Xenopus tropicalis: one gene and its partners. The main gene of each other region encodes a partner of the protein of the gene in region 3 in a complex. Links are inferred from orthologs where the notes say so. Each region holds a gene or a part of one and is shown on either strand. Other genes may lie near its edges.

What was found.
Region 1: polr2e (region 3) and gtf2f2 share a complex: the UniProt entries of both Homo sapiens proteins name them as parts of the TBP-based Pol II pre-initiation complex. The link is inferred for Xenopus tropicalis from reciprocal best matches to the Homo sapiens genes POLR2E and GTF2F2.
Region 2: polr2e (region 3) and uri1 share a complex: the UniProt entries of both Homo sapiens proteins name them as parts of the PAQosome complex. The link is inferred for Xenopus tropicalis from reciprocal best matches to the Homo sapiens genes POLR2E and URI1.
Region 4: polr2e (region 3) and ubtf share a complex: the UniProt entries of both Homo sapiens proteins name them as parts of the pol I pre-initiation complex. The link is inferred for Xenopus tropicalis from reciprocal best matches to the Homo sapiens genes POLR2E and UBTF.
Region 5: polr2e (region 3) and gtf2h4 share a complex: the UniProt entries of both Homo sapiens proteins name them as parts of the TBP-based Pol II pre-initiation complex. The link is inferred for Xenopus tropicalis from reciprocal best matches to the Homo sapiens genes POLR2E and GTF2H4.
Region 6: polr2e (region 3) and ruvbl2 share a complex: the UniProt entries of both Homo sapiens proteins name them as parts of the PAQosome complex. The link is inferred for Xenopus tropicalis from reciprocal best matches to the Homo sapiens genes POLR2E and RUVBL2.
Region 7: polr2e (region 3) and polr1b share a complex: the UniProt entries of both Homo sapiens proteins name them as parts of the pol I pre-initiation complex. The link is inferred for Xenopus tropicalis from reciprocal best matches to the Homo sapiens genes POLR2E and POLR1B.

Annotation. Positions count from the first base shown.
Region 1 is NC_030678.2:133,829,726-133,834,451, reverse strand, and holds the start of gtf2f2 (general transcription factor IIF subunit 2), read right to left. Parts: upstream 3,099-4,726; 5' UTR 3,047-3,098; intron 2,830-3,046; 5' UTR 2,793-2,829; coding exon 2,724-2,792; intron 1-2,723. UniProt on the Homo sapiens protein: TFIIF is a general transcription initiation factor that binds to RNA polymerase II and helps to recruit it to the initiation complex in collaboration with TFIIB.
Region 2 is NC_030680.2:71,279,254-71,283,898, forward strand, and holds the start of uri1 (unconventional prefoldin RPB5 interactor 1), read right to left. Parts: upstream 2,889-4,645; 5' UTR 2,745-2,888; coding exon 2,670-2,744; intron 1-2,669. UniProt on the Homo sapiens protein: Involved in gene transcription regulation. Acts as a transcriptional repressor in concert with the corepressor UXT to regulate androgen receptor (AR) transcription.
Region 3 is NC_030677.2:100,196,478-100,201,038, reverse strand, and holds the start of polr2e (DNA-directed RNA polymerases I, II, and III subunit RPABC1), read left to right. Parts: upstream 1-1,507; 5' UTR 1,508-1,517; coding exon 1,518-1,574; intron 1,575-1,784; coding exon 1,785-1,959; intron 1,960-2,057; coding exon 2,058-2,173; intron 2,174-3,788; coding exon 3,789-3,869; intron 3,870-4,561. UniProt on the Homo sapiens protein: DNA-dependent RNA polymerase catalyzes the transcription of DNA into RNA using the four ribonucleoside triphosphates as substrates.
Region 4 is NC_030686.2:18,522,749-18,527,179, reverse strand, and holds the start of ubtf (nucleolar transcription factor 1), read left to right. Parts: upstream 1-1,338; 5' UTR 1,339-1,765; exon of another isoform or gene 1,766-1,999; intron 2,000-2,134; exon of another isoform or gene 2,135-2,545; intron 2,546-2,573; exon of another isoform or gene 2,574-2,715; intron 2,716-2,776; exon of another isoform or gene 2,777-3,073; intron 3,074-3,166; exon of another isoform or gene 3,167-3,743; intron 3,744-4,431. UniProt on the Homo sapiens protein: Recognizes the ribosomal RNA gene promoter and activates transcription mediated by RNA polymerase I (Pol I) through cooperative interactions with the transcription factor SL1/TIF-IB complex.
Region 5 is NC_030678.2:143,590,596-143,594,559, reverse strand, and holds part of gtf2h4 (general transcription factor IIH subunit 4), read left to right. Parts: intron 1-271; coding exon 272-368; intron 369-969; coding exon 970-1,058; intron 1,059-1,879; coding exon 1,880-1,988; intron 1,989-2,932; coding exon 2,933-3,001; intron 3,002-3,557; coding exon 3,558-3,641; intron 3,642-3,964. UniProt on the Homo sapiens protein: Component of the general transcription and DNA repair factor IIH (TFIIH) core complex, which is involved in general and transcription-coupled nucleotide excision repair (NER) of damaged DNA and, when complexed to CAK, in RNA transcription by RNA polymerase II.
Region 6 is NC_030683.2:113,409,490-113,413,453, reverse strand, and holds part of ruvbl2 (ruvB-like 2), read left to right. Parts: intron 1-211; coding exon 212-306; intron 307-1,299; coding exon 1,300-1,418; intron 1,419-2,278; coding exon 2,279-2,398; intron 2,399-3,337; coding exon 3,338-3,467; intron 3,468-3,717; coding exon 3,718-3,832; intron 3,833-3,964. UniProt on the Homo sapiens protein: Possesses single-stranded DNA-stimulated ATPase and ATP-dependent DNA helicase (5' to 3') activity; hexamerization is thought to be critical for ATP hydrolysis and adjacent subunits in the ring-like structure contribute to the ATPase activity.
Region 7 is NC_030681.2:38,727,756-38,732,261, forward strand, and holds the start of polr1b (DNA-directed RNA polymerase I subunit RPA2), read left to right. Parts: upstream 1-1,581; 5' UTR 1,582-1,687; coding exon 1,688-1,864; intron 1,865-4,506. UniProt on the Homo sapiens protein: Catalytic core component of RNA polymerase I (Pol I), a DNA-dependent RNA polymerase which synthesizes ribosomal RNA precursors using the four ribonucleoside triphosphates as substrates.

The DNA of each region.
Region 1 (4,726 bases), on a different chromosome or scaffold from region 3:
CTCCCAGATGTAAACTGCCTCCCACCCTCATAGATCTTTTGCTTGAGGATGCTCCAGAGGTTGCACAGCACTCATCAGTGAACAGGACTGTTTGAAAATTAGTCTTCATGTATTTCTCTGCCCAATGCAGCTGATTGGTTAGTGGTGGCCGAATAGAAGGTTTATGCACCGTTGCAAGATTTTGGAGTCCCACGGACATCAAGGTGTAGAGTCCTCCAGAGGCACCAGCAGCTTCAAATATCTGTTTGCTGCTATGTAATGGCATTTTAGCAGCTGCTCTCTTGATCCGATGCATGGATCTAGCAGAAATCTTCCACAATGTGCCTTTATCTGCACGAACACGTCTGTGCTCTGAATCAGCCAAAAATCTCTTAATAATGCGATGATCACGCTTAAGTTTTCGTGAAATATCTGTTTTGATACATTGTCCCAAAGCATTGAGACACAATGCTATCCATGATTTTAATTGAAAATCAAAAAATCTAAGTTTGGAAGATAACAGGTACTTCAGCTTTCCTCTAGATCTGCAAGCACCTAGTTTCCTTAGCACCATGTTAACCCAAATTTTATCATACTTAAAAAAGACATTTGGCTACTGTAATGCCTCGTAATATATGGTAAGGAGTGACTTTAATCGCTTACCTTTTACAGAAGACAGAAGCAGGAAGAGGAGATGCTCGCTCGCAGCTACCCCGGACTGGTGCGGTTTTCTCCTAACAGGATCACCAGTCCGGGATACCTGCAAGAGAGCATCTCCTCTTCCTGCTTCTGTCTTCGCGCGTATGCGCAGTAGAGTGAAAAGTAGGGATGCACCAAGTTCGGGATTTGGGCAGAATCCAGCCTGTTTTGAAGGTTTCGGGCGAACCGAATCTGAATCCTAATTAGCACGCCGGATTTTTAACCCTTCTCAATCCTAATTAGCATTCGGCAGAATCCGTCAGAGTGGGTTCAGCCGAACCAAAAAAAGTGGGTTCAGTGCATCCCTAGTGAAAAGCCCAACTTTAACATAAAAGCCCAGGGATTCCGAAGACAGAAGAGATAAGGAAGAGGAGACGCTCGCAGGTACCCCGGGCTGGTGCGGTTTTCTCCTAACAGGGGCACCAGCCCAGGTGCGTAAGTGATTAAAGTCACTTGGGGGTGCCTAACATTTTGGCACCCACTTAGCCTTTCCTTCTCCTTTAAGGGCTATGGCAGAAGGGGAGACTAGTTGCCCGCAACAAATCTCCCTTGACGCGGGCGATTTACATTTTCGCCGGTGGGATGGCATTTCGGGGAGATTAGTCGCCCGCAACAAGGGAGATTTGTCGCAGGCGACTAATCCCCCGTGTGCCACAGCCCTTAGGGAAGCTGTTCTAGCATTGAAGTGCTCAGCACAGTGCAGAAATGACAAGTATTACTGCAACATCTGCAGAGCAGCTACTCCTGAAATAGTCTGCATTTTCAGTTATCCACCAGGCTACCAGCACAGCAGTGCTTCTTATCTTCTGTGACAAATAAATGGTGCAGAACAAAACTAAAAAAGGATGCAAAACTGCACAGATCCTTTTTAAGGATCGACCTACCTTTGGCATCAACAGATATTCATCTTTAAATGGGTGACATTAAACATAATTATTTATATTCATCCAGACACCCAACTATTTATTCAGCTTAACACAACTGAACCGTAAGCCCTGACCCTTAAAAACGGAATGAGCTCCTACTAAGCTTATGGGTATGTATATTTTCTAACACATGGTTTACTTCTGTATACCTTCTGTATGCTCTGTGTGCATGCTGCTAGAATGCGCAAGATTCTGAGGGGGAAGGGGGCAGAGAAAGGGGGTGGCCTGAAATAGAAATCCGGGGCTGCCTCCACACCTCAAAAATCTTCAAAATTTTAAGACATGAATAAAATGGGAAATGTGACACATCATTTGTGGTTTAAAGAGAGATGAAGACCAAGGATCAGACTGATTGTCCTGAAAGCTAATCACGTGTCACTACTGGAATATGCGGTCCTATCTATAACTTATTATAAACCCATAAGTTGGCCACAAGGGCAGATAGGCCCTGTGTTTACTGGTTGCCCTGGGTTTCAACTGCGGTGCAAAAGTAGAGCAGTATGTGTTAAAGGAGACATATAGTAAAATAAAAGAAAACTCCAATCTCATAGGCAATTATGAATAAAATACGGTGCTGGTTTCACTCAGGTCTAAAAATCAATACTACCTGTACAAATGGAGCTCCCTATAGATCCTCTCATCCCGAAACACTATTTTTTACTTTTTAAAGCACATTCCTTCTATATTTAGATGAGTAAAATTTTGGCACCAGTGTCAGACTTGGACCCCAGGGGCCCACCAGAAAACCTTAGACCATGAGTTTCCTGGTATCCTGGTGGGCAGTCCGACACTGACTGGCACAATAGTTTTTTTACACAATACGTCCCCTCTCCACAGCGCACAAGTAGCGCAGACTAATCATACCCAGCTCAACTTGAACTACTACCTGAAAATGAGTGCACTGGGCTGAGGCCAAATAATAGGGCACAGGTGCTAGCCACAAATTACTCTAGCATCTTATTTATCTTCACTACACAACAAGCAGCCTATCGCTTCAACTTGTTTACAGGGTCAAACACTACAAACAAAGCCCTGTAAGTAGCATCTTCCAGCATCCTGCGTTACCCAATCACATGGTCAGGAAGGCGACAATGTAACCATACAGCATTTCCTTCCCACCTTGACAAGCCACATTCCGGTATTCTGTTTTGCTCCATTCAGGTCCAAATCCCCTTTCTCGGCGGCCATGGCAGCGATCAGTACAAGAAATTGCTGGCAGCAGCACCTGGAAGACACAGCACAGCGGAACTCAGTTGCCGGTGCACAGAAATGTACGGGGCGCTAGTAAGGACACACTTCCGGAAGCGCTCACAAAGCCTCAGTAGGGTGCGCTTGTACTATAGAGCCAGTGCGGGAGCAGAACAGGAGGGGTTAAAGCATAGGCGGATTTTCGATAAGGCTGCTCTGGCACCCTAAAAATAAAAAAATAAAATAAAAAAAACCTGGCTCTGTTTCGCGCTGTGCTGCAAATCTTCTCCTGTCCCTGCAAGCTCAGGGTTCTGCTCTAATCAGCTGTGCTCTGATTGGATCTTTCTTCTTGTATATTCTCCAATCAGAGCACAGCTTTCTTGACAGACAGTAAAATTGACCAATCAAGACACAGATGCAGACAGGGATCGGGAAATTTTGCAAACTGCAGAAATGAAGACTTAAAAAAGAAGAATCTGCAGACTGTAAGTTTACCCATGAACCAGCTTTGAACTTTGCTGCAGTTTTCATCCCACAGGTACTATACTGTATATGTTCTAAAGACTGACCCACTAGCTGGAATTAAATTGTTTTTTGTCATCTGACATTTATAATATCTCCTACCCTAAGTTAATTTTTCCCCCTGACAAAGCTCATTGTGCTTTTATATATTTGTTATGGTTTTTTGCACATTCTATTTTTTTTTTACTTTTGTCATTGTTTTTTTTATTTATAGTAAGTTACAGTGGGGCCAATGCTGTGTATCAGTGCCAGTGTTATAGTGCCAGGGCCTGAATATCTGCCATCTGTACCCATTGCTCCTCATGGCATATAATGTGCTGGTTTTGTATATAAAGACTGCGTCTCACTGTATATAACGTGCCTGGGATGTCAGTACCTGCTGCCTCACTTTCTATAAAGCTAACTTAAGCACATCTAATGGGGAGGTTCACTTTTAAGTTAACTTGTAGTATATTATAGAATGGCCTATTCCTAGCAACTTTGCAATTGGTCTTCCTAGTTAATTTTATATAGTTGTTGAATAATTTGCCTTTTGCTTCTGCCTCTTTCCAGCTTTCAAATGATAGTCACTGACCAAAAAGTATTGCTCTGTGAAGCTACAGTTTTATTTTTCCATGCAGCCCCTTAACTATTCATATTCCCATCTCTTGTTTAAACCACTACCTGGTATATAAGACCCTAGCAACCAGATAGCTGCTGAAATACCAAATGGAGAGCTGCTGAACAAAAAGCTAAATAACCGAAAAACCATTAAAAATAAAAGAGGACCAATTGCAAATTGTCTCAGAATATCAGTGTCTACATCATATTAAAAGTTAATTTAAAGGTGAACTACCCCTTTAACCTAACTGAACACAAATGTATAGAGAACCCCTAACAAAAGTGCACGTATAAATGCTTTTACATCCTAAGCATTTTAGGGTTAAAAAAATCCCCCCCAGCCGCACTTTTGCACAGTATCCCTGGGAGTCAGTGGGAACTGCCAGAGGTAGTTGGGAGGTTAATTTTTTACACCAGCAGTGAATCCACTAAGTGTCACATTAGCTGTAGGTCAGTCTGTGTATGGGCCATCTTTAGCCTCCCCAAACAAAAAAGTCATCCTCCGCCTATGGGTAAGGTAATGTTTTATTGTGTTTGTTTGCAAGTTTCTAGCTCGCCTGGGTGGTTGTTTGGACCGATGGGATTTTGTACGTGAGAATGATTTAGTGACTTATCCATGTTTTCCGTAAAGATAACAAATGCGCAGCAGATATCTGTGACAGGCCTTCTGCGCTCCCAGGACACGTTCTGCACTGAGGCGACTGAAAACACGCACTCGACGCAACATCAGTCCAGTGACAAGGCAATATCTATAAACTGTGCGCAACACCACATTAGATTGTCTGTGGCAGGGTAGGCAAAGGCTTGGTAAG
Region 2 (4,645 bases), on a different chromosome or scaffold from region 3:
GTCTGCCACGGCCCTTAAAGTAAATATCTTCTAAAGACACCAACAGTAGCTCCCCATCTTATACCTACTAAGTTACAGAACATGCTCAGGGCTGCTGTCAGTCACCTTTTGCTTAGGGACTGATTCACAATGCACAGTATATTGTGAATTCTAGTTTGTTAATATAAAGCATATTTGTAATTAATTATATTCACAATAAATGTCACTATAGAAACCAATGTGTTCTGCATTGAGAAATGGTTATTAATCAGCTACTATGACCTACATTTCTGTGCAGCACAAATGTGGATTTCTGTGCAGGATTCTGCTGGAGAAGCTCTATTAATGGATGTGTTTTTTGGGAGAAAAAAAAAAAACATGACAATATTCCTTTAGTCCTCCTTTAAGGCTCACTACAAATTACTTTTTACATGTATTCTGGATTTCTTTCTAGATTATGCATTTGTCTCCACTCCTGTGGGTCCATGCTTTTAGGGCAAAATTAGATAACTATATTGATGGGCAATGGGACACATAATACTGTACCAGAAGACAAATGCATGTACAGAAAAAGTGGGCATAAATTTTAAAGGCAAAAACATATATGTGCCATTTGACATTTGTCATAACTACATAAATGACTTATTCGATACACATACAGTGACAAATGCACTAAAAACAAAAAAAGTCTGTGCAACAGTGCACAGTGTGATACACAGTGAGAAATCAGAAAATTTCTAATTCTGCTTTGTAATATCGTAATAGGATTATTAGCCCTAACTCTACAGATGATGCAATACAAGCAAAAATTACTAGTTATACCAATATGTTAGCCCATAGGAACCCAAATAAGGGCTTTGGTATTCTACATCCAGTAAACTGATTCAATGAGCGAACTGATCAACAGCAACGTTTTACTGAACCAATGCACACTTGCCCTATGTCAGTAAATAAACCCCAGCCTGTGTTCTTGTGTTACCAGAGGGTAAGAAGACTTGAGAATCGGAATCATCCAAAACTCCTTCTTAAAATACCTCAGTCTATACTTTGTACTTAGAGATTTAAAGCTCTTAGCTTCTAATCAGAAGCTTGGAAGAATGTCATATTCAGCATTATATAAGCTTATAATTCTTTGCAAATTAACCCTTTTGTCTTGCTGCACTGCATGTGCACCAGTACAAAATATGCTCAGTCATTGTGCTTACAGCCCACCAAATTTACAATATGTTAAAAATATGCAAAACTTGCTCACTCCTTCCATTAGGAACACTATGCTCACATCCTTCCTAGGCTAGCTCTTCAGTTTTCTAATTGTAGGCAAAGGATTCAGGTACAAGCTTTCAGCATGGATTATTAAAGGGATAACAATACGGGTGAAGATACAAGGAGCTATTAGTAGCAGCTACAAAAATAGACAGTGCTGATCATTTACTGATAATTGTCTCTACGTGTGTGTTAGAAGAGGCAATTCTCAGTATTATCTATGGTATGGTATTTTCTGGAGTTTAGTAGCCATTACAAGTAGCTGCTACTAAGTAGCTCCATGTGTCTTCACCCTTACACAGCTTCAATGAACACTGTAGAGTCCAAGATAACTATATTATTGCCTCTTTGCTCTCAACTACGATTCCAGTAATACTAGTAAGTGAACTGCTAAGCAGAGGAACTGACCTGGTTAGGATGAGAAGAGGTAAAAGGAGCCAAATTGTCCTTTACATTGCAAGACATGAAGTGTGAGGCCTTCTGAGAACAGAAGGTATTTACATGCCTCATGCCATACCAATAGCACTGCCTATGACATTTAGACTGTTCCTGCTACAAGAGGTACTCTGGTGTTTGCATTAATAGCTGGCACAGCATTACTGCTCAAAAAAGGTGCAAGTCCTGCCACTTTTAAGACAACTGCAATTTTATAAGATAACAAGCTTTATTTACTGAATTGTTGTCAATTTTATGCCCAATGTAACTTTTATTTCTTATGGAGCACAACACTGAATTTGAGTCAACTCAAAGGTCACAGTGGTACATTATGCTTAGCAAAGTCAACCGGCTGAGTTAGATCATGGCTGTGCATACTGTAGCCCTCCTGTTAAAAAGATGCTGGAAGCGTCTCACTGCCTGACCCTAACTTATAAACAGGGTACCTGTCAAATGTGCACAGACATGACAGAGTACTGTGTTCCCTATGGGATTAAGCATTTACACCTTAACATTTTCAGATTTTATGGCAGCGCCAATGGTAATACTAAGCTGCATATTCTGGTGCAAGTGGAACTTATATAACTTTCAGTAGCTGTACATCCTGCTCAATAACATACATCCTCCTTTATTTGTTTTGCTTCTCAGTTTCCTGTGCTACCTTCCTGATGGCCAATGCTCAGCCCTGTGTCATAATGGCCCTGTGTCATAATGCCCAAATATAGTCCATTTTGTACAAAACAATGGGCTCCGACTAGTCTAAAAGTTACAGTGATAAAAAGCAAATGAGTGATGTGCTGCTAAGTGGTTTATTCCAACTGTGTGCTCTTCTCTTTGCTGGGGAACAAGCCCATACTGTCTATATTAACCATGGTACAGGCTGCCCTAAGCCCGCTGGGCGCACTTGTACCCTAGTGCATAAGCGCTCTGCCCTGGCTGGCTTATGCTCTGCCACATTCACATGTGTAACATGGCACTCGTCCTCTGTTTACCTTTCCATGCTCTTCCTGAAGTCTGGCCACATCACTGGAGCTCAGCAGTTTCGTACCCTCCCTTATCTCTTCCATGCTTTCCGTCCGTCGCAAACCCCTTTGCCCCGGAACTCGGGAACCGACCGTGGTCCCACCTTCTCGGGCCCCGACTCTGAGAGTCCCACTCGCATGAGCCACTCAGGCACGGAAGGAAATTCACCTCAAACTCTCGCGAGCATGAGACCTGGGAAATCTCGTAACTAGGAAGCAAATGCACGTGGGGACTGTACGTTTCCAAGGAGGAAAGCTTTCATCAGCCTGACTCTGCTACTGTGTTACTGTGATACTGTTTTACTGTGTTACTGTGATACTGTGTTACTGTGTTACTGTGTTACTGTGATACTGTTTTACTGTGTTACTGTGATACTGTGATACTGTGATACTGTGTTACTGTGTTACTGTGTTACTGTGTTACTGTGATACTGTGTTACTGTGCTACTGTGTTACTGTGCTACTGTGTTACTGTGATACTGTGTTACTGTGTTACTGTGTTACTGTGATACTGTGATACTGTGTTACTGTGTTACTGTGATACTGTGATGATACTGTGTTACTGTGTTACTGTGTTACTGTGATACTGTGATACTGTGTTACTGTGTTACTGTGCTACTGTGCTACTGTGTTACTGTGTTACTGTGCTACTGTGCTACTGTGCTACTGTGCTACTGTGTTACTGTGTTACTGTGTTACTGTGATACTGTGTTACTGTGATACTGTGATACTGTGTTACTGTGATACTGTGCTACTGTGATGATACTGTGCTACTGTGCTACTGTGTTTCTGTGCTACTGTGATACTGTGCTACTGTGCTACTGTGCTACTGTGTTACTGTGATACTGTGATACTGTACTACTGTCTGTGTTACTGTGCTACTGTGTTACTGTACTACTGTCTGTGTTAAACTGTGCTACTCTCGTACTGTGTTTCTGTGCTACTGTATTACTGTGATACTGTGTTAGCACCTGCTGCGTGTGTCACGTCTGCAACTGTTAACTTCACTCCCACATTCCCACATGTAAATGTCAGTACATACTCTGTATTCTTACTGGATCATTAGCATGCTCAGCTGCAGTCTACAGTGCGTTGAGCCAATCACCAATGCTATTTGGGATGTTCAGATGTTCCTCGTGTTATTAACATTTAGTAAATTATAGCTGGACCTCTATTAAGTAACCTTTTAATTAGACTTATTTTTTGTGTATTTGTTTTATATTTAGCATTCAATATTTTTCATCTTTCCAGTCAAAAAATCATTTGGCCTTTATGGCGCTTTTGACCCCAAGCATCTCAAAACAGATCAACAGATTCATTGTATTATGATTTTTATAATTTATTAATTTTTTAGGTCCACTATTATTGATCTATTCTGTCTTCTAATCTGTTGCCTAGTTGCTTGGGTATATAACCTCTAGCAACCAGATAGCAGTTAGTATTCCGAGCCTGAGAGTTGCAAAGCAAAAAATTTAAATATTTCAGAAAGCATAAAAAATAAAGGCTAATAGCAAATTGTCTTAGAATACTGATATCTACATCAGTTTATTTCAAGGTAATGAATAAAACTATAGGCTGGCTCTCTGTGGTTGCAAAAGTGGCATATTGCATTGCCATGTAATATTATTTTAACTTAAATGGAAATTATTTACTTCATTGCCATTATTTTTGTTTAGGAATTACATAATTCATTATGATCTTGTGCCTGTCAAATAAAATGTGTGCTTTTTTTTTTAAAAAAAAAAAAAAAAAAGCTTATCTCAAATAATAATAATACTTGAGTTAATTTACCTGAGAGCAGTATCGGTGCATTGCGTTGTTTTTTTTTTCTTTAAAAAAAACTTTTATTATCTCACTTGATATAATACCCCACCAGTATAACACATGCCATTCATTGGCTGATGAAAACCTAGCATGCATACCTCGCAGCATTTGATAAATGTAAA
Region 3 (4,561 bases):
ACTTTAACCTGCAGCACTAATATCCTCCTATTGTGTCTGTAAGTTACCCTCCCATTTAGATTGTAAACAGAGATGTCCACCCTCTTGTCTCTTTGATTGTTAAAGGGATACTGTTGTGATTTTTATGGTATACTTTTTATTTCTGAATTACACTATTTACATAGCAAATAATTCAGTCTACCATTTAACATTTTATTCTTGAACCAACAAATGTATTTTTTTAGCTGTAATATTGGTCTATAAGCAGCATTGTGCAAGTCTGAGCTTTCAGAAGGAGCCAGCGCTACACATTGGAACTGCTTTCAGATAACCTATTGTTTCTCCTACTTCCATATAACTGAAGGAGTCACAAGCTGGAATTGGATTTCTTACTATTGAGTGCAATTCTGAGATCTACTGGGAGCTGCTATCTTGCTACCTTCCCATTATTCTGCCGATTGGCTGCTGGGAGGGGGTTCATATCACTCCAACTTGCAGCTCAGCAGTAAAGTGTGAGTTCAGAGCACAGGTCACATGACTGTGGCACCCTGGGAAATGAAGAATATGGCTAGCCCAACGTGAAATTTCAAAATTAAATATAAAAAAAATCAGTTTGTGTTTTTGAAAAATGGATTTCAATGCAGGATTCTGCTGGAGACGCTCTATTAACAGATATGTTTTTAAAAAATACGTTTTTCCCGTGACAGTATTAATTTAACGTATTGTATCCTTACCTTGTATTTACTATCATACTTTGTATTTATTTTATTGTAATAGTCCCGTTTATTCTATTCATTTATTGTCCTACTGTACAGCGCTGGGTACATAAGTAGTGCTATATAAATAAAAATATATATACATACATAAAGATAATATTATATATCAAAATGGGGCTTGGGGCAAAAATAAAAAAAAATCTTAATAAAACACTGCTCGCCTTAAAACAGTTTAACAAGTATTTCTAAAGAATATTTAGTTTACGTAATTCTTGTAGTTAGCCTATCATTGGCACATTACCACACCCTCTTTTGCCAATAACTAATCCCTATACCTTTAGAGGGTTAACTCTTAAACTTAGCCACTTATAATATTAATGCAGAGCGCCATGTAACTATGTGACGCAATATAAATACACGAAGACGATGAATATAGGAACGGTAGTAATACCCACCAACAAAATGGTGATCTTTACAAGAACATGTACGCCGGCTTCTTGCCTACCACAAACATGGCCGAGCCCTTCAACTGCGACGATGCAATTTCTTTGGTCTTCCTTAGCGTGATACCGAAACTTGAACAAATTCTACAACCCGAATAGCCACCTTCAGCAAAAAAGGGAAACGATATTATGCGCAACTTTATTCCTTTTCCACAGTGCAGTTTTAAGCTAATAACACGTCCTCAGAGATACCCCACAGCAGTATTCGCTTGTAGCCATCAGGCAGAGTGAGGGCAGCCCATGTAGGGTCCTCCTGCAGCCCAGGGAGCCGAGCTCCGGAAATCGCGCTCTTCTTCCTGTTTGGTCTCGTGGAGACAACATGGACGATGAGGAGGAAACTTACCGGTTGTGGAAGATCCGCAAAACTATTATGCAGGTGAGAAAATTGAGTTTTAAATCTTTTTGTGTTATAATCTTCGCCTTTTTCAGTAATTCGAACTCAGCTACGTTGTGTTGGGTACCATTCATTTCTGCTTCCAGCATATACTTCTACTGTACTCTTCGTCCCTGTCACTTTTACTTTTGTGCTTTACCTCATCTGTCTCCATATTACCTGTTTCACTCGCATCCTTCTTTCCTTCGCCAGCTGTGCCATGACCGTGGTTACTTAGTAACGCAGGATGAATTGGATCAGACACTGGATGAGTTTAAAGCCCAGTTTGGGGACAAACCTAGCGAAGGGCGCCCTCGCCGAACTGACCTGACTGTATTAGTAGCTCATAATGATGATCCCACAGACCAAATGTTTGTTTTCTTCCCAGGTGAGTAGGTGCAAAAAAAAAAAAAAAAACAGTGACTGGCTGAAGGGTCTATACATGCAGACAAAGGATTATTACATGTTTGCCTGTCTTATTTGTAGAGGAACCCAAAGTTGGCATTAAGACAATTAAGATGTATTGCCAGAGAATGCAGGAGGAGAACATTACGAGGGCTTTAATCGTGGTGCAGCAGGGAATGACCCCATCTGCCAAACAGGTAATTCTGCCAGCTAACGTGCACCTTACCTAAGCATACTTACTGGGTGAACTGCAGTTCTGATCCAAAGCTTTTATAAATGAAAATGTACAGATAAAATATATACTACTCCGATGAATTAATTTTCTATGTGATTTGTATGTTTTGCTGGCAAAAGACACCTAAGCTTTATTTTTTATCTTAAAAATGGGATAAGTTTGAAAGACCCTTCTTTAAAAAGGAATACACCTATTATTAAAACTATAGATCTCATCTGCTAAATGCAAAAAAGTGCAATTTGCCATATTACCCCTCAGTGCAGCATCCTTCCTGCAGCATAGGCATACACTTACATGGTTGTCAGTCATGTGCAGTTCAGCTTCCACAACCTTGATTGGCTATGAGTGCATAAGGAGGCCCAGTGCTTAAAGGAACAGTAACACCAAAAAATGAAAGTGTATAAAAATAATTAATATATTATATACTATTGTTTTGCACTGGTAAAAGTTGTGTGTTTTCTTCATAAACACTACTGCAGTTTATATAAATACCCTACTGTGTAGCCACGGGGGCAGCCATTTAAATTGAAAAAAAGAGAAAAGGCACAGGTTGCTAAGCAGATAACAATTAAGTAGCAGATTCCCATTGTATTCTACACAGTTTATCTGGTATCTTCTTATGTAACCTGTGCCTTTTCTCCTTTTTTCAATTTAAATGGCTGCCCCCATGGCTACACAGCAGCTATTTCTATTAACTATAGTAGTCTTTCTGAAGCAAACACGCAACTTTTACTAGTGCAGGGCAACAGTAAATTATATTTTAATTATTTTAAAACATTTTTATTTTTTAGTGTTACTGTTCCTTTAACACCAGGCCCAGACTGCCAGTCTGTGGATTCTGGCAAATGCCAGAGGAACTGCTGTAAGATCCCACAGACAGTTGCTGTTTGGGCCTTTGTGTATTTGAAATATTAGGGCCTATTTTGAATCTCAGCCTGGGTCTGCATAACACCAGGTCAAACCAGATGTTAAGCACAGGGCTTGGGTGCAAGTAGGTGCAGGTCATATGCGTATGCTGTTTAAAATTTGCAATTCTGGCTGATGAACTAACATAGTCATATTATCCAAGTATAAGCAGGTTACCGTTTTATGTTCTCTGGCAAGTAAGATAAAGGCAGACGTTTACTAGTTAATTAGTTACTAGTTAATATTGTATGATTATTACTTAATACTACTACCACGTTTTCTAAAAACAGGATCGAATCACTTTATTTGCCTGATGGAAAGGTAAAGGACAACTATAAACCTTCTCTCCTATGATATAGGAAAGAGGATGGACCGGTCATTGCATATAAATATGAATGTAACCTTTTCATGCTAAATCATAATAAAGACGTTAAAAAAAAAAATTGGCAATTCTGCACCTACTTCTTGTAAGTGAGCCCTTTTGACTTCAATCCAGTTGAAACCTTGTTTCCTATGCATAGGATAAATACTGCCAAAATCTGAAAAAATATTTTAATTATTAAATTATCAGTTAATGTAGTAAAATGTTTACATGGTGTTAGTCCATAATAAATACTATCCAAAGCTTCTGCCAGCTTTCCTATCTTTATAGCAATCTCTTTATTTTGCAGTCCCTGGTGGATATGGCACCCAAATACATTCTGGAGCAGTTTCTACAACAGGAGCTTCTGATTAATATCACAGAGCATGAGGTGAGTTTTAATACAGAAGGGGAAGAAACACTTTCACTCATACTGAAACGTTTCTGTTATCCATACACACTGACATGTAATAGGTGGGTGCACATGGGAACGTTAGGTGCCTTCTTGATGAGTAGCAGCAGAGTATTGTAATGTGTTAGCCATAGTTTCAGAAAAAAGATTTTAGGTGGTAACATGATACCGTTTAAAATTAATTAACCAATAAACAGTATCACCTTCCCACAAAAATCTTTTTTTTTTTTTTTTTGTGAGTCCATATAGTTTAGAAGTTCATCTTTATTAAGTTCTGTACTGTTTATTTCTGATAGCTCAGGGATTTTACATTTGACCATAACTTTGTAAACTAAAACTCCCAATATGTTGCATTTGTAGCTCGATTGCTGGATGAATTTGTAGTTCGGTACCTCTAATAGCAAATGATAGGCAGGATGTGTAATTCAGAATATAATAAAAGCCCACTACATTTTAATTTTTTTTTTTTTTTGTGTTTCCTTTGCACACTGTAAAAGAATAGTTATAGTTGATAATACTTGTGCTATGCACGTGGTGTTATGTTTTACATTTGTATAACCACAGCTTTCCCAATTACCTGCTTTAGCATTCCTCTCCTATGATACTATAATCACCTTTTAAAAGAAAGCCAGTAGGGTCAAACATAGTTCAGACGTAGGTGAAAAATGTAA
Region 4 (4,431 bases), on a different chromosome or scaffold from region 3:
TCCTAGCGGCCGCAATGGGAGGGGGGGAGCGCCAGTGCCTGCAAGGGGAGTCACTGTTTTTTCCCCATGCCCTGCCGGCCCAGTTCAACATTGCCCGAAAAACCAAACTGGGCCAGCAAAAGTAGATTTCAGTGTTGTCTCAGTGTTCATGCCTCTGACCAATGGGCATCATAGGGGTTAGCACAAGTGGCATAACTTGGTTGCCCCCTGCATAAAAAGCTTTTGAGAGGGTCCGGCGCAACCAGTCCCTCCATCCGGCCAGACTGCACCAGTATATTTAAGGTAGGAAAGGGGCCTGGGAGGGGGGACTAAGGCACAGCAGACCCTGCAGTCGGGCCCCCCACCCCAGTCAGGGTTGGACTGGGCCCAAAACCCATGGCGCTCTCTCCCCTGTTGCACATAAGCTAAGACACACGGCAGAGGGAGTTGAGCAGACAGTGGGGGCCAGGACAGGGCCCCCCAGTTCAACCCTGTATATAGTTACACCCCTGGTTAGCACTGCTGTCTGGGTTTCATTCTAGCCTGGGCACTAGCTGCAACTCCCTGGGATTCCTCCCACACTCCAAATACATACAGGCAGATTAAGTGGTACTGATAAATTGACCCTAGTGAATGTGGTAGCAACCTTAGATTGTAAGCTCCACTGGAGCGGGGGCTGGTGTACAATCTCTGCTCATTGCTGCAGTGTCAGTACCATATAAATAAGGGTTAATAACTGTAAGGCGCAAAGCCCTTCCCCTGGCACAGTATGGGCTCCTGGCATCTCTAGCTGCTCCCCGCTCATTATGCCTGATTGCTGTTCATGTTAAAGAGAGAGAGAGAAGAAACCCTCCTTGATGTGCCAGGAAAGCTTCCCCCATGATTGGCTCCCTCTCTCTGACGCTTTCAACAACAAAGGTGGAGTCAAAAAAAAAATTAGGTTAAAAAAAAGGAGAAGATAAATAAGAGTCAGACAGGAACAACATATAGGGAATAAAAACCTGTTATGGGGGGTTTAGCGCCTGTGTATGGTTGGAAGCGCTGAGCAGCCAGCAGCCGCCGGATCTGAGCAGCCACCAAGCCCTGCTTCAACCATGATCACTGTATTGTTGGACTACAGCTCCCAGAATGCCCGCACAGCCTATCTGGGAGCTGTAGTTGGACAACAGCTGGAAGCAAATTGCTGCCGTATGAGGTGAATGTGAGGGGTGCCTGTAGCGGCAGCTGGTAATGGGGAGCAGATTGCGGTGCTGGCTGGATGGAGGAAAGGGAGGGATGGAGGGATCAGCTGGAGCCTGTTGCAGGGAGAGATTGGAGGGGGCCTGGCTGATTGGAAGGCTGTATAGGCACGGAGAGCGATGGAGGCGGGGGAAGTGCGAGCTCTCTGCGGGGACTGGGTCTGAGTCCACGCCCGGGGCCAGCGCTGCAGATCTGGCCATCATTCAAGCGCCGCTTCCCCAGCCTTGTACAGGGGAGGAGGAAGCCGAGCCCGGGCTGCACACACACACACAGGAGGTGGGTTTCACTGAGCTCCATAGAACTCCCCCGGAGCTGGCGAGGCCCCCCTGCCGGGCTGTGTAGGGTGCAGCAGCGGGAGGAGGAGGAGGCGGCTCCCCGCGTTCTGTCTGCCCGGCTGCTGCTGCAGCGACGCTGGGCGGGGAGAAGGAGCAGGCAGCGCCCCCCCTCCCCCGGAGCTCTCGCCATTACCCAGGGGCTGCCGCAGCCGCTTTGTCTCCGAGATCCGGACAAGCAGATTCCCCCCAACATCCCTGGGAGAGACAGTGGGGTAAGCCGGCTTGGGGGTCTGCGGGCACCTGGGGACGGATACGGCACAGATCGCTGGATTAGTATAAAATCCACTACCGGCCGGGGAATTTGTAGCCACCGAAGGGCGTTAGTGTGCGGGGAAACCCGGGGAAAATGTCACCTCCAAGCGGGCACGATTCAGTCGGGCTTGCCGAGAAACATGCACTTTTCTCGGTCACCTTGCGCGACTCACCCCGTTGCGGTTATGGGGAAGGTACGTGTAGCCTCAGTTTCCCTGCCCGGGCTCACCCTGCGGGGCATGGGTTTGTTTAATGCGGGGAAGGGCACTGTATGTGACGGGCAGTGTGGAACCCAATAAGGGCAATAGCAGCCCGGGTTCCCGCTGCGCCCTCTCCCAGGCACCCTCCCCTCGGGCTTTGGCTTGTTTTTCTCGGGAAGAGGCTGCTAGTTCCGCGCTGGGGCTGCTGAGGTCGCTCTCCCCCGAGTCTCCGGCTCCTCCTCCCCCCTTGGCCGGAAGGTGAGGCCCGGCAGCTGGGAACAAGGTAAGAGCTGCGGAGGGGGAAGGAGAGAGACGTTCCCAGGGGAGCAGAGAGGTGGGTGCCCGGGAAGATTGCGGGGAGCTGCGCCGACACGGCTCGGAGCACCGAAGGGAGGGGGCCGGGAACATGAGGCAGAGCTGGCCGGGGCTCGGGTGCATATTGCGGGGAAACGCGAGGGGGCGTCCGGCTGCTGTTGCGGGGCTTCCGGGCGCGACACGTGGGCTGGCAGGGGACTCGGGCTGGGGACGGCGCTTCTCACGGTGAGTAGGAGCGGAGAGGGGGTAGAAGGTGACCCTGTTTCCCGGGAAGAACAGATGCTGCCTGGACTGCGCTGCCGGTAGTTAAGGAGGCAGTCGGCCGGTGTCTAACGGGGAGCGAAAGAATCATTCGCGGGTAGAAGCGAAGGGACCCATTGTGGGCAAATAACGAGGTGGGTGAAAGTCGGCCGAGCCTGTGGCGCATTATACTACCGCAGGCAGCCCGACTGGATCGTCTGATGGTTTAACCATACGGGCTCTGCTTTAGCCGAATCCGATTCGGAGCCTTTCCCCGCACCTTGCTCAAGGCAGCCCAAGCGGCTTCCCGGCACAGGGTGAACGAGTCGGGGCTACCAGCGATCCCAATGAAAAGCGTTTTAAGGCGGAGGCTCCCCCTGGGTCGCGGAATGGGCTGATCCGTACTAGTGGAAGCCGTGCCGCGGCAGGGAAGGAGCGGACGCCGGAGCTACGGCTGGTCCATAACAAAGGGGGGAGCGCTTTTCTCGGGAGCCGCTGGTTCGGAAGCGGGCGGTAGGTTAGGGTGTATTCCTCGCTACGGACGGGGGCTCGAAAAGATGCTATTTACTGGTACGGAGAGTCAGAGCCCGGGGTGGGGGTTGGACTAAGCGGGATAGGGTGCCCGGAAAGCTGGTGTTTTGGTCCAGTAAGGACCAGCCCCGCAGGCATTACTCGCTAGGGTCAGGGGTTCCCGGGTGAGACGGTTCTTCGGTAGAGTCAGTGGGTTGTGTCAGGTTGGAGCGACCCCTCCCTGGGACTGGAGACGGGAGAGTACCGCTGGGTATGCGGCAGTGCTCAGTCGGGCCGCCCTTACGGCTAGGAACCCGGCTTTGCCTGGGGGTCGCTGCCGCGCTAATCCTCCCTCGCACCGGACTAGGGTTGTACAGTTACCGGGACCGCATCGCTGCTGCTTCCCGACGCGCCCAACAGGAATCCCGGCTCCCAGCCAGAAGTTCCTCCCTTTCGGGGGTGGGATACGTCTGCTCTTTCCGGATCCCGTCCCCTCCCGGTGCTGGGCGGGTGCTACGGTGAGAGGCGGCGGGGGCCCCCTGCAGGCAGAACGGAGAGTCCTAGCCCGACTCGGGGTGGGGAATTGTGACCTCAGAGCGCCCTTTCCTGGAAATAGAGCAGCGCTGCTTCTTAGTACCCAGTCCTGTAGCCGGAGCTCGGCCCGTACTGATCGGTGTGTTTGTATGGCAGCTCCTACGCCGTGTACGATTCCCTGCAACTGGCGCTGCTGTTGAAAACTGTAGTTCAGCATCAGTCACGTCACACACACATTTGCACTGCTGCCACTAGACTCGTTTGGGTTTAATAGCAAAACCATTTAGGACCCCTTCACTTTTCCAGTAAGACATGGCCACTGTGACCCCCTATATCTCCTGGACTACCCCAAAAGTCGCAGCTGTGAGACTCCAAATATCCTTAACCTCATACCAGAACCATGTGACCATAATGGTAGAGCTGGAGGGGCAGATTATAGGTAATGCCCCGACTGTGTTTGCCACACACCCATCGCATGTAAAATGCCAAGCAAGCTGATATTTACTCCCAGCCCATGCCTACATACCCTTTTATACTGCCTTAAACCGTACAGTGTTATGGGATTGTTCTTGTGTTCAGGGCTCCCCTTACAGGAATTACAGGGGTATTACATTATTATCCCTTCAGGTTTCTATGGCATGTGGCCTTGTGTCTTTTGTTACCCAGCTACACTGTAAATATAGGGAAACATATACAGGTAGGGGATCAGGGCCGCTGCTGGCCAAATGGGTGCCCTAAGCGGAAATTTACTTTTGTGCCCCCTCCCCCAAATATTACGTAAGTAAAAATGAAATACTAAAAAAAAACACCTACTATAGGGGCCCCAC
Region 5 (3,964 bases), on a different chromosome or scaffold from region 3:
ATGTCTTACTTACTGTGGGCGAGAATCATATATCCCTAGTGGAGAATCACATAGGAAGACCAGTGAACCAGACAGTAGTTATGTAATTATGAGACACTAATGATGTTTTTGTAATAATATAGTTACCTGTTTTAAAGCAAATATTTTATTGGTTGCTGAGATTTACTGCTCCTGTGCAAACTTAGCACCTTTTATTACATTTGGGGGTAAAGTCTGCCCAGGTACAGTATCCCATGGCTGATTTTGTACTGTGTTTTTCTTACCTTCATAGGGGAAAACCTTGGGCAGATGATGGTTGCCTACTAGGCCCTGATAAACATGGAAAAGATGTGGTCTCGTTGGATAAGTATGCAGAAGAGAGATGGGAGGTGGGCACTACTTTATTTTATTTGTTTAATACTTCTGCTTTTCTTTTGCTAACTAAAATATTTGGTTAATGTATGTGTTGATATGAAACTTATAGTACAGGTATAGGAGCAGTTATCCAGAATACTTGGGACCAAGGGTACTCTGCAAAATCTTTGCATAATTTGAATCTTTATACCATAAGTCTACTAAAGAAATCAATAAAAATTTAATTAAACCCAATAGGACTGTTTTACATCCAATAAGTATTAATTATATCTTAGTTGGGATCAAGTACTGTTTTATTTTTACAGAGGAAAAGGAAATCAATTTTAAAAATCTGAATTATTTGATTAAAATGGAGTCTATGGGAGACAGGCTTTCCGTAATTCAGAGCTTTCTGGATAACAGGTTTCCGGATAACAGATCCCCATACCTGTATTGTACATCTGCAGTAATCATTAGTAACCCAGTAACTGTGTGGCTTACCATTATAAATGTTGTCTTTAACATTCCCATTTGAATAGATTTGTTCAATAAAAAATTCTGTTATTGTGTGTTTTATTTATAATTTGTTCTAATCCCTAATGTAATAAAACTATTATGTTTCGTGTTTTGTATTAGGTTATTTTACATTTTATGGTTGGGTCTCCAAGTGCTGCTGTTAGCCAGGACTTGGCACAACTGCTTATACAGGCCGGCCTTATGAAAAGGTAAGACCTGTTCTCATTGCACGCATTGCTTGTTCTGAGTATACTTATTAACATCCTTATGTATATAACTTATATTCACATATCTTATTTATTAAAAAAACGACTTATGTGTCATTTGGCCAAGTCATTTATTTTTGTGTTCACGGCATATATATAAATATATTGGGGATTGCTGTAGGTAAAGGATAGCCGTAATCCTGAAAAATAGCATAAACCTGAAGAGTAATTTCAAACCAATGTAAATATCAGGCCAGTGGCACAAGTACCATATACAACAGCAGAGAAACATCAGCTACCCCTCTGTTGTGTATACATAATATTGGAGATATATCTGTCATTTAAATAGAAAAGGGCCGGTGATTCTTTCTGCACATAACATTTTTCTGCCAGCATATTTCAGCTAGTAGGAAACCACCTGTTATATTGCTTTTGAGCATTTCTGGGTTAAAACCTGTCTGATGCAGCTTGTTTATGGTTATGTGCCAAAGCACAAGCAGACATAAATTTGAGATCATAAAATTAATGTTTTAATGAGCCAACCTTTTGTAATTCAGTTGTAATTTGTGGGGCTTATGTATTTACAGTGGTTCAGTTTGTTCAATTGCAGTAGGTCATAGCAACCAATCAAAAATATATTATTGTTAATCTACCTGCAAGAGACTGATCACAGATAATAGCTGATTGGTTGTGCTGAGTTGCTTCACTGAGGTAAACTTGCTCCTTTTTAGAAAATACACCCCGTGATGCTATTTTTGTGTTTTTCATAAAGATATATGTGTGTTTTTACTAATTCCGTTCTGCGCATTTTATTTTTCTTGTAGTGAGTCTGGGGAAGCCCCCTGTATTTCATCAGCTGGCTTCCAATTTTTGCTTTTGGACACACCTTCTCAGCTCTGGTATTTTATGCTTCAATATCTCAAATCCGCAGAGGTAAGTAAATCTTTTGTCACATATTTGTATCCGCGATCATTTATTCCCTCACCTATTAAAGAATGAGATGATTTTCTTCATCCTTTGCCACCTATGCCAAAAAAGGTCAACATGTTGCTTACCGACCCCTTGGATGTTGCTCTCCGTGCCCCCAAACCAGGTAGTTATTATAGAATTCCTGACTTGGTGGCAAGTTTTGGTTGAATAAAAACAAGATTTACTACCAAATAAAGCAGGGATCCCCAACCTTTCTTATTCCTCATAGTCAAATGAAAAACAACATGGAGAGCAACACATGCATCATAAAAGTTCATGGAGGTGCCAAATAAGGGCTAAGATTGGTTATTAGGCAGCCTCTATGCACACTATCAGCTTACAGGAGGCTTTATTTCGTAGTAAATCTTGTTTTATTTCAACCAAAACTTGCCACAAGTCGGGCAAGGGGGTCGGTGAGCAACATGTTGCTCATGAACCACTGGTTGGGGATCATTGAAATAGAGTCTCCTGTAAGCTTATAGTGTGCATAAAGGCTACCTTATAGCCAGTCTTAGCCCTTATTTGGCACCAATTCTTTTTACATTTGATTGTGGCTTCCGATTAAGAAAGGTTGGGGACCCCTGGTCTAAATCAACCTAGTAATGTCCAGTTTACTCAATACAGTGCCCCTAGATAAGATACCTACTTGACACATACTAGGGCTTGTTTATTAAGCATGGTGCAAAGCCTACGTTTAGCCACATTACATTTAGAGGGGGCAGGTGAAATTGTAGAAGTTTCTTCGTATAAATGAAATAACTTAATGGCAAATGGACTGAGACTTTGCTGTTTGACTGTTACTGTTAGGTCTCTAAATGGTTTAGTGTATAAACTGATGCTATTATATTATATATAATAAGTATCATATTCTCATCTTGCAATTAATAATACGGCCTTGTTTATTTAAGTCTCGTGGGATGATTCTGGTGGAAATACTCTCCTTCATGTTCCAGTTAAGCTTCTCAACATTGGGAAAGGTAAGCTAAAATGCTGCAACATTTGAGATCAGTGTAAAAGACTAATGAGTGCCACAGATGAATAACACAAAGAATGGGCCCAAACTGTAGGATTTTTAGTATTTAAGAGGAGCCAGTATGAATGCAAAGGATATGGATGCCAGTTGGGTCTATGGGACGGGGCTGTGCATTGGGAGGTATACAATATCATTATTGAAATATGGAATAATGTACCACCTATTGTAACTATGAAGATATTGGAAGTCACTGAGGAATTCTATGAGCATATCAATGCACAAGGCCACAAGGGAAGGTTAACATTCCACCTGCCATTCTGTCAACTTTTGACATTCTTTTCTCTGACTGATGTTGTTGGTATTAAAGACTTTACCTATATAATTATTAATACACATACAGGGACAGACTTTACTTTTCCTGTCTGTGTATTAATAAAATAAAGCAATTGCTTTCCTATATAAAATGCTAGACTGATGAGTTGCCTGAGCAAGGTGTGGGAAAAGAGGGAAATCAAATGTTACTTTCTTGTGTGTACAAACTCTTTCTGTTCCATCCAAAGGATTACTCTGTGGAAGGGATGAGTGATTCCTTACTTACTTTTCTTCAACACTTGCGTGAATTCGGCCTTGTGTTTCAAAGAAAGGTGAGTGGGTGGATATATATGTTATAAATATAAATAGGGATACTATATATTATATATATATTTATATATATAAATATATATATATATGGCACAAAGGGTGTTTTCATTGCTGCTTTCTTTTGACATTGGGTTCCACTACTTTGCATGTCCATTTTAATTAGCATTGCAAATATCAGGTGTCAGATGGCTCTAAATGCCATAACCATATGTTCTTCATGAATTGGACTTTATAAAAAGGCTTTCTCCATGTCATTAAAACTCGCCCAGCTAAATTAAAATCATGTCAAATATCATCCAAAACGTTAATATTAACAAACACTTAA
Region 6 (3,964 bases), on a different chromosome or scaffold from region 3:
AGATAAGCGGTGTTGTATCCTGTGCTTGAATGGCTGCCCCGTGGCTACACAGCAGCTTTTTTATACTATAGTAGAGTTTCTGAAGCAAACACACCAGTTTTACCAGTATAGGGCAACAGTACATTATATTTCCATTACTTTACTAGGTATTCCAACAGTTTTATGTTTTGATGTTACTGTTCCTTTAACATAATGGAATTTTCTGTTTTAGGAGACACAGGGGAGATTAAATCAGAGGTGCGAGAACAGATCAATGCAAAGGTTGCAGAATGGAGAGAGGAAGGGAAGGCTGAGATTATTCCTGGTGTAAGTTGTTGATCTTCTGTTGATTTCTTTTTGTACACAATATTTGAAATAAGAAAAATAAATAAATAGATAATGTGTATAGTGAATAAAACATAGAGCACCAGTGTTTACCTTAGCTTTACAGTAAAATCATCATTGGCTGTCCTTGGCCAGATGTGTGTTTGGGTAGCAGAGTTCATTATTATGGCACTCTTAGCCAATGCCTTAGAAAACAACAAGATTGCTCTGTCGGGAATAATTTGGCCGCTCGCACCAAGGTTATGGGAATAAGGGGCTGCATAAGAAAGCACACTGTGCTTCTGTAGAGAAGATAAAAAGTTGCTTTTCATATTGCTGCAACGTTTGGTAACTTGTTCTTTATCTTTGCCTGCAAGCCCTCTGTAGCTATACATAGCTAAACACTTGTCCTTGTTATGAAGCAATTTTTTTTTATTTTTTTTTTTTTAACTTGCAGGAAGCTGTTGCTAAAACAATATAACTACTTTGGATATATATTTTACGGAATTTTTACAGTTTAAAAAAAAACTTAAAATTTCTCATTTATTTTGTTTCTCTATTACAAGCAGCTGAACTGCAGCTCTTTTACTAACTTTCTTGTCTAGCCTGAAGCTCCGCCCCCATTTGCTTTCTCTGCCCTCCTTCTCTCTCTGACCTTAAAGAGGTGCCTACTGTGCATGCCTAATTGGTTTTAATTGGTGCAGAGGCATGTCCAGTAGGCACTTCGTTGAGGTCTTCATAGTCTGAGAGAGGAGTGCTCAGAAAAAAAGGGGTGAATCTTCACTCTAGGCAAGGAAGTCTGTAAAAGATTAGCACTACAGCTGCTTGTAATAGAGAAACAAAATAAATCTACATGCAGGGTGAAGGGTATGTTATTCTGGGGCCTTTACAGATCCTCATGCTTTAAAGCTGCATGAAAAATACTTGGTAGTTCCGCAGTTTAAACTAAATTTAAGTTTAATTTTGATTAGTTTTTTTTTTTTTGGTGCTCAACAGGTGCTGTTCATAGATGAGGTGCACATGCTGGATATAGAATGCTTCTCCTTTCTGAATCGAGCTTTGGAAAGTGACATGGCCCCTGTTCTCATAATGGCCACCAACAGAGGAATAACCAGGTAGGTCGCAGCCGCTGCACTTGGCCATTTATCTGCAAGGTGTGTGTAGAACTCTTTTATGGTTTCATTCCAGTCTATTTCACGCTTTGTCTCGATCTGAAGGACGTGTGAGAGATTTATCTGACCTGATAACCCTTGAGGTGCCCATACACCTTCAGATCCGCTTGCTTGGAGATGTCGCCAAGCGAGCGGATCTTCTCCCGATATCCCCCACCTACGGGTGGGCGATATTGGGAGAATCCAGGCAAATTCGGTATTATTATAACGAAGGGTATAGGCAGAGCCGATGCGGTCCCCGATCCGACTAGATTTTTTAACCTGCCCGATTTCAGGCCAGATATCTGTCTGGAAGGCACATCGGTAGTGCCCATACACGGGCCGATTAGCTGTCGAATCAGTCTAAAGGACCGATATCGGCAGCTAGAATCGGCCGTGTATGGGCACCTTTGGGTCTACCAGAAAGTTGGGCTCCTTTCTTGGGAACACTGTGCTTTTAACACGTCGCTGCTTTTTTATGTCACACCCATTGGCACAAAGCTTACAGATAGGTTTTCCTTCTGTGTGAAGAGATATTATAGGTGTTGCAATGTGTGCAATGGTTCTGATAGGATCTTGTCACATTGTTCACATTGTTGTGCTGAGCAAGGTGCAGCTCATATAAAGAATCCGTGCAGTAACCTTTTATCAGTTTGACCAGCTTGGTTGGTTGTTCTTAGCACAGTCCTAGATACAGACAAGTGTCCCTGGGAAGATGCTGCAGTTGGACTAATGTTGCTTGCTTTGGTGTCTGACCATTGTATTTATAAAGTACCAACATATTCTGGACTTTCATTCTTTTGTTTTTAATGTTTTTAAAATAGAATTCGGGGCACAAACTACCAGAGTCCCCATGGAATTCCTATTGATTTACTGGATCGATTACTCATTATCTCCACCTCACCATACAATGAAAAAGAGACCAAACAGATCCTAAAGATCAGGTAAGAAACTGCATTTAATGACTTTTGAGGGTACAGGCCTGAGAGCCAAAAGGCATTATATGGCATTGTGTAGAACTACTACAGGAGGGAATACAGGGTTATGGGAGAGAGCTCTTAGTTGATCCAGGGACTGGTTCAATTGCCATCTTGGAGTCAGGAAGGCATTTTTACCCCTCTGTGGCAAATTAGAGTGTGTTCAGATGGGGTTTTTTTTTTGGCCTTCCTCTAGATCAACAAGCAGTTAGGCAGGTTATATATAGGCATTATGGTTGAACTTGATGGGCACGTGTCTTTTTTTCAACCCAACTTACTATGTTACTATCGTCGTCTTTACCCCTTAAATGACACCATCCAGTGGAATGCAAGCCCATTTATATAATTAACTTTCTTATTGTTTTTTTTTTTCTACTTGTTTCTCGTTAAAGGGGAACTCTGACTTCAGATCCAAAATGTGTTAAAGAGCCCCACACAACACTATTTTTATATTCTGGAATCCAGCTGCAAAACAGTTCTTCTCTTTCTGCATTGTTTGAAATCCTGGCAGGGGAGGAGGGACTAAAAAAACAAATTATAACAACTTCTTCACAGCTTACAGACAGCATGCAGGAAATACATAACCCACAATGCATTTCACTGCGATGTTCCTTTCCTTATTGTGCAGGGCATTGTGGGATTTGGATGATGCAGGCTTAGGACAGTCAACTACTGTTACATTTTATTTGAGTCTCAAAGTAGTCCGCCAGATCAGCAGGGGAACAGGGGCGGGGCTTAGGGAACTGTTCCAAACCATATTACATTAAACATCATGAATAGGCTGCATATTTTTTAATTGATGTATATTGCGAAGTTGCTTGAAATTGTTTCTTTTCAAAAAACTTAAGTTGTGTTTGGGTGGAGTTGCCCTTGAATAATTTTGAAACAATTCCACATCTTGTTCAGGTGCGAGGAGGAAGACGTGGATATGACTGAAGATGCTTACACTGTTCTGACAAGGATTGGCCTAGAGACCTCCCTCAGATATTCCATGCAACTAATAACAGCAGCTAGCTTGGTCTGCAGGAAGAGGAAGGTGAGCCTAGAACGACTCTTAATCATTATACCATAGCTCTTAGAGAGTCCAGGCAGCATTGCATATGTGGGTTGTAGATTATTGCTGCTACCTAGTTTCCAAATAGCTTATGACTATCAAGCAATCTGAGGCAAGTAGCTGCAGTTTGTGCATATAAACAATGGCCATCTTTCTTATTTATTTCACAATTTAGTTTACCCCTTGGTGGGTATATGATACATTATATGGCTGACAGATTTTTGCATTTCAGGGAACCGAGGTGCAAGTGGATGATATCAAACGAGTTTACTCGCTCTTTCTGGATGAGTCACGGTCAACACAGTACATGAAGGAATACCAGGATGCCTTTATGTTTAATGAAATGAGTAAGTATTAAAAAAGGGGGGACAGCATTCTTACAAAGGAGACCTCTGTATATAGTAGGGAATTCTCTATTGATAGCTATGCACGCACTCTATAGCGTGTAGAAAAATAGCAAACAGCACCTTCTTGTCTCC
Region 7 (4,506 bases), on a different chromosome or scaffold from region 3:
TCAAGAAGCAAAATGCTACCAACCCCAATCAGAACCTGTATCCAGGTCTCTCTGCAGGGGAAAACAATTCTCTTCACCCTAATATTGTGACTTTTTTTGCATATTATAAAAAAATATATATATATATATACAGTCTATTTTGCAGGCCATTTTTCAGTGCACTGGTAATCAGATTATCCACCATGCAGGAACGAGAAGTTGTAAATAAGAGTAATTTAAGTGTCTATTTGTAACAGTTGCCACTTCACCTCTTTAATACCAGCCACATATTGAATCCAAATCCTGCATGACTAGTTAGCAATTCATTTAAATACATGCTGCATGGCTTCACATAAATCAGTTCAGCCTGCATCTAAATTAACTGATAACTAGCTATGCAGTAGTAATGTGCGGGTTAGAAATCCTCACAAAAGGGGTGGGGCGTGCACCTATAAATTAGAGAGCTGAAAGAGGAAGCTGGCAGTGTAAGGTCAAGGCCGCCGCTCCCTATAAGCAGAGTACTCAGTCTGCATAGGGCACCAACTCCCAGGGGGGCACCATCCCAGCTGCTCCAAAAAAAACAAACCATTTTTATATATTATAACATACCCCCCAACACTGTCCCGCTGGTTTTTATAGCGCATCCCGCTGTCCCGGATAGTTCAATCAATCTATGGGGGCTATTGGGGGCACTGTGTGTGGGGCCCCTATAGTAGGTGTTTTTTTTTTATTTTATTTTTACTTCCGTAATATTTGGGGGAGGGGGCACAAAAGTACATTTCTGCTTAGGGCACCCATTTGGCCAGCAGCGGCCCTGTGTAAGGTTGTGGGCATGGAGGGTGACCGGACGCACCCAACCCGCAAATGATGTGCCGAAGTCATCCCAAACCCACCCGACCCACACATCACTACTATGCAGGATATCGATTCTATATGTGGCCAGTATTAAATAGGGTGAGGAGGCAACTCAACTGGGTTTGGTGACCAAACATTGATTTGTTTCTTATTTAAAATAGGCAAAAAGAATGTTCAGCTCATGCCCTATTCACTGAACTCATATTGCAATGCACCCCTAGACTATAACAAGTCAGACTGTGTATATAGAGGGACAACTAGCTTGTAGCCTGTAGTTTTTGCTGAATAAACCCTGCCAGATAGCTACTGATGGGAGGGTGCTGGTAGTTGTAGTGCATTAGCTTTATCTGCATGTTATGAAGAGCTTCATAAATAAAAAAAATTATATTATACCCCACCTCCCCATTCTATATGCAAGTTACTTGAACTACTGTCTACCCCCCTCCACTCCCCTTTAGAAAGTTTCCTGTGGGAACGACCAATACAGGCACATTAAGTGAAGGCGATATAGCTGAACATAGCCATTTAAAAGGGAAAGTTAACACTGCCAGAATGAATTGATTTTAACCTGACGCTGTGGACATTGGGTAGCAGTGCATACAGAATAGAACCATACGTGCTTGTGTACATACACCAAGGGGCTTCTAAGAGCGACTGCTGCTCAGCTTCCAATCCAACCCGGCAAGAGTCCAGGCACCAGCAGAACAGCTGTGACATGTCCCGGAAGTGCGTCCCAAGTAGGAAGTAGGCTGCAGCGCTACACGTGTGGCTAGTCCCGCCCCTTCCCCTGCACATGGGCTGCTTGCCTGGCGCTCAGGATTCTCAGGGCTAACTGACTGCCACTTACTGCAGGATGGAAACGGACACTAAGTGGCAAGCGCTGCTCAGGGAGCCTAGCCTGGGCAAACTTACCAGTCCCGACTATGGGATTCCCGGGGAGAGCCAGCACCCTCCTCTGCAGGATATCACTCGGGCTCATATCGACTCCTTCAACCAAGCAATGACAGAGGGGCTGAGTCTGGCGGTGCAGGTGAGGGAAGTTGGGGTCTAGGAAGGGGTGGTATAGCTGCTGATGTGGGTCTGTATAGTAGAGATGTCTGAGATCAAAAAGCAGATACACATGTGAGCACTCCCTGGGACTCTGCACTGCCCTGCCATTGATCTCTCTCCTGAACCTCCCCTTAGTATTGTTATAGTATCAATATGCACTAATGTACATATACAGCACAAGCCTTTCTCAGAATAACACAACCCTGTTAAACCACTAGTAAAGGAAGCATTGATGATATCATAGTAACATAGTAAGTTAACTTGAAAAAAGACATACGTCCATTACGTTCAACCATAATGCCTATATATAACCTGCCTAACTGCTAGTAGATCCAGAGGAAGGCAAAAAACCCCATCTGAAGCTTCTCTAAATTGCCTCAGAGGGGAAGAAATCCTTCCTGACTCCAAGATGGCAATCGGACCAGTCCCTGGATCAACCTGTACTAAGACCTATCTCCCATAACCCTGTATTCCCTCACTTGTACTGAGAGCTATCCCCCCAAACCCCTGTATTCCCTCACTTGTACTGAGAGCTATCTCCCATAACCCTGTATTCCCTCACTTGTACTGAGAGCTATCTCCCATAACCCTGTATTCCCTCACTTGTACTGAGAGCTATCTCCCATAACCCTGTATTCCCTCACTTGTACTGAGAGCTATCTCCCATAACCCTGTATTCCCTCACTTGTACTGAGAGCTATCTCCCATAACCCTGTATTCCCTCACTTGTACTGAGAGCTATCTCCCCTACCCCTGTATTCCCTCACTTGTACTGAGAGCTATCCCCCCTACCCCTGTATTCCCTCACTTGTACTGAGAGCTAAGACCTATCTCCCAATAACCCTGTATTCCCTCACTTGTACTGAGAGCTATCTCCCATACCCCTGTATTCCCTCACTTGTACTGAGAGCTAAGACCTATCTCCCAATAACCCTGTATTCCCTCACTTGTACTGAGAGCTAAGACCTATCTCCCATAACCCTGTATTCTCTCACTTGTACTGAGAGCTATCTCCCATAACCCTGTATTCTCTCATTTGCTAAGAAGCCATCCAGCCCCTTTTTGAAGCTATCTAATGTATCAGCCAGCACAACTGATACAGGGAGGGAATTTCACAGCTCTCACAGTAAAAAATCCTTTCCGAATATTTAAATGGAACCTCCCTTCTTCTAAACGGAGTGGGTGCCCTCGTGTCCGTTGGAAGGACCTACTGGTAAATAAAGCATCAGAGAGGTTATTATACGATCCCCTTATATATTTATACATAGTTATCATGTCACCCCTTAAGCGCCTCTTCTCCAGTGTAAACAGACCCAACTTGGCCAGTCTTTCTTCATATCAGTGACATAATTTCTATGAGACACAGTATGTGATGTAAAAACTATAATAAATAAGTCCCTATGTATGTATAATATAGCGCAAAGTTCAATTCCAATTTATGATGTGTATTTTCACAACAATGATACAAATACACCTGTGACCATTCACAAACAACTGCAGTGTTGAAGATTTTCTAGAGAATTTATGCCACAAAGAAATGAGGTATGTGAAATGTTAGCATGGAGGAGGTGACGTAGGTAATGAGATGCAAAAGTTGATGCTCTCTCCTTGATAAATTGGCAAATAGTCACTGGAAAAATTTCACCTGGTAAAATAATGTGAATAGAATATTCCCCAAATTGAAATTGAGTGAAATTAATTTACCAAAATGTGGTGTACTCTCCTGATTTAATAAATTGACGATGTTGTGGCTTATTTTCACGTTGGCTGAAAATAGTCAAAATTGTAAATTTCACACTGCAGTTAATATGCCCTATAGAGAAAAAGAAACTAGAACTATATATTTACTAACCAAAGCACCAGTTTTATGCTCTAAGTCAGTGCTTGCCAATTATTTCCATATAGTGGGCCAGATATTTACTTTTAGCATATTTGTTGGCCGCATTGAGATGTTATCCAAAGATGCCAGTTGGGTTTTCTTGGAGGGCCACATCTTGTCTGTGGGCGTTCAGTTGGCGGCCCTGCTCTAACTAGTTCCTGGTCAGTCAGTAGCCATACCCATAACCCACACCTGGGCTGAGATTCACAGTCTGCCGTGCTATTACTGAGGCCCAAACAGCCTTCGACAGGCCCAATAGTATGAGTTAGTTGCAGGATACTGCAGCGTCTCTGGTTTTGCTGAAACACTGAAAGTGGCAGTCCAGGCCTGACATAGCCCATAGCACATAGGCCTGGCTTTCAGACTTTTATAGTTTTAAGACAGTGATGCAGATTTGGTCAGGCTTCCTTTAGAGCATAATTTTAGAGATATAACTTTTAAAGGAGTTTTTCACCTTTGAATTTATTTTTGATATGATGTCAACATTGATAATCTAAGGGGCACATTTATCAAAGTACAATTGTCTCCTACTTATTTTTTCTAAGTTTTTGAACTGTACGTATTTTCATCGATTTCTTCCCGTACTGTGCGTCATAATTTACGCAACAATATTGTATTTGTCACAACGAGTACGAAAGTTTCGGATTCATTCAAGCTTTGGTATCGTGACTTTCCTTGGGCCAGGTTGGAGCTGCAGAGTGCCATTGAGCCCTATGGGAGACTTTCCTTGGGCCAGGTTGGAG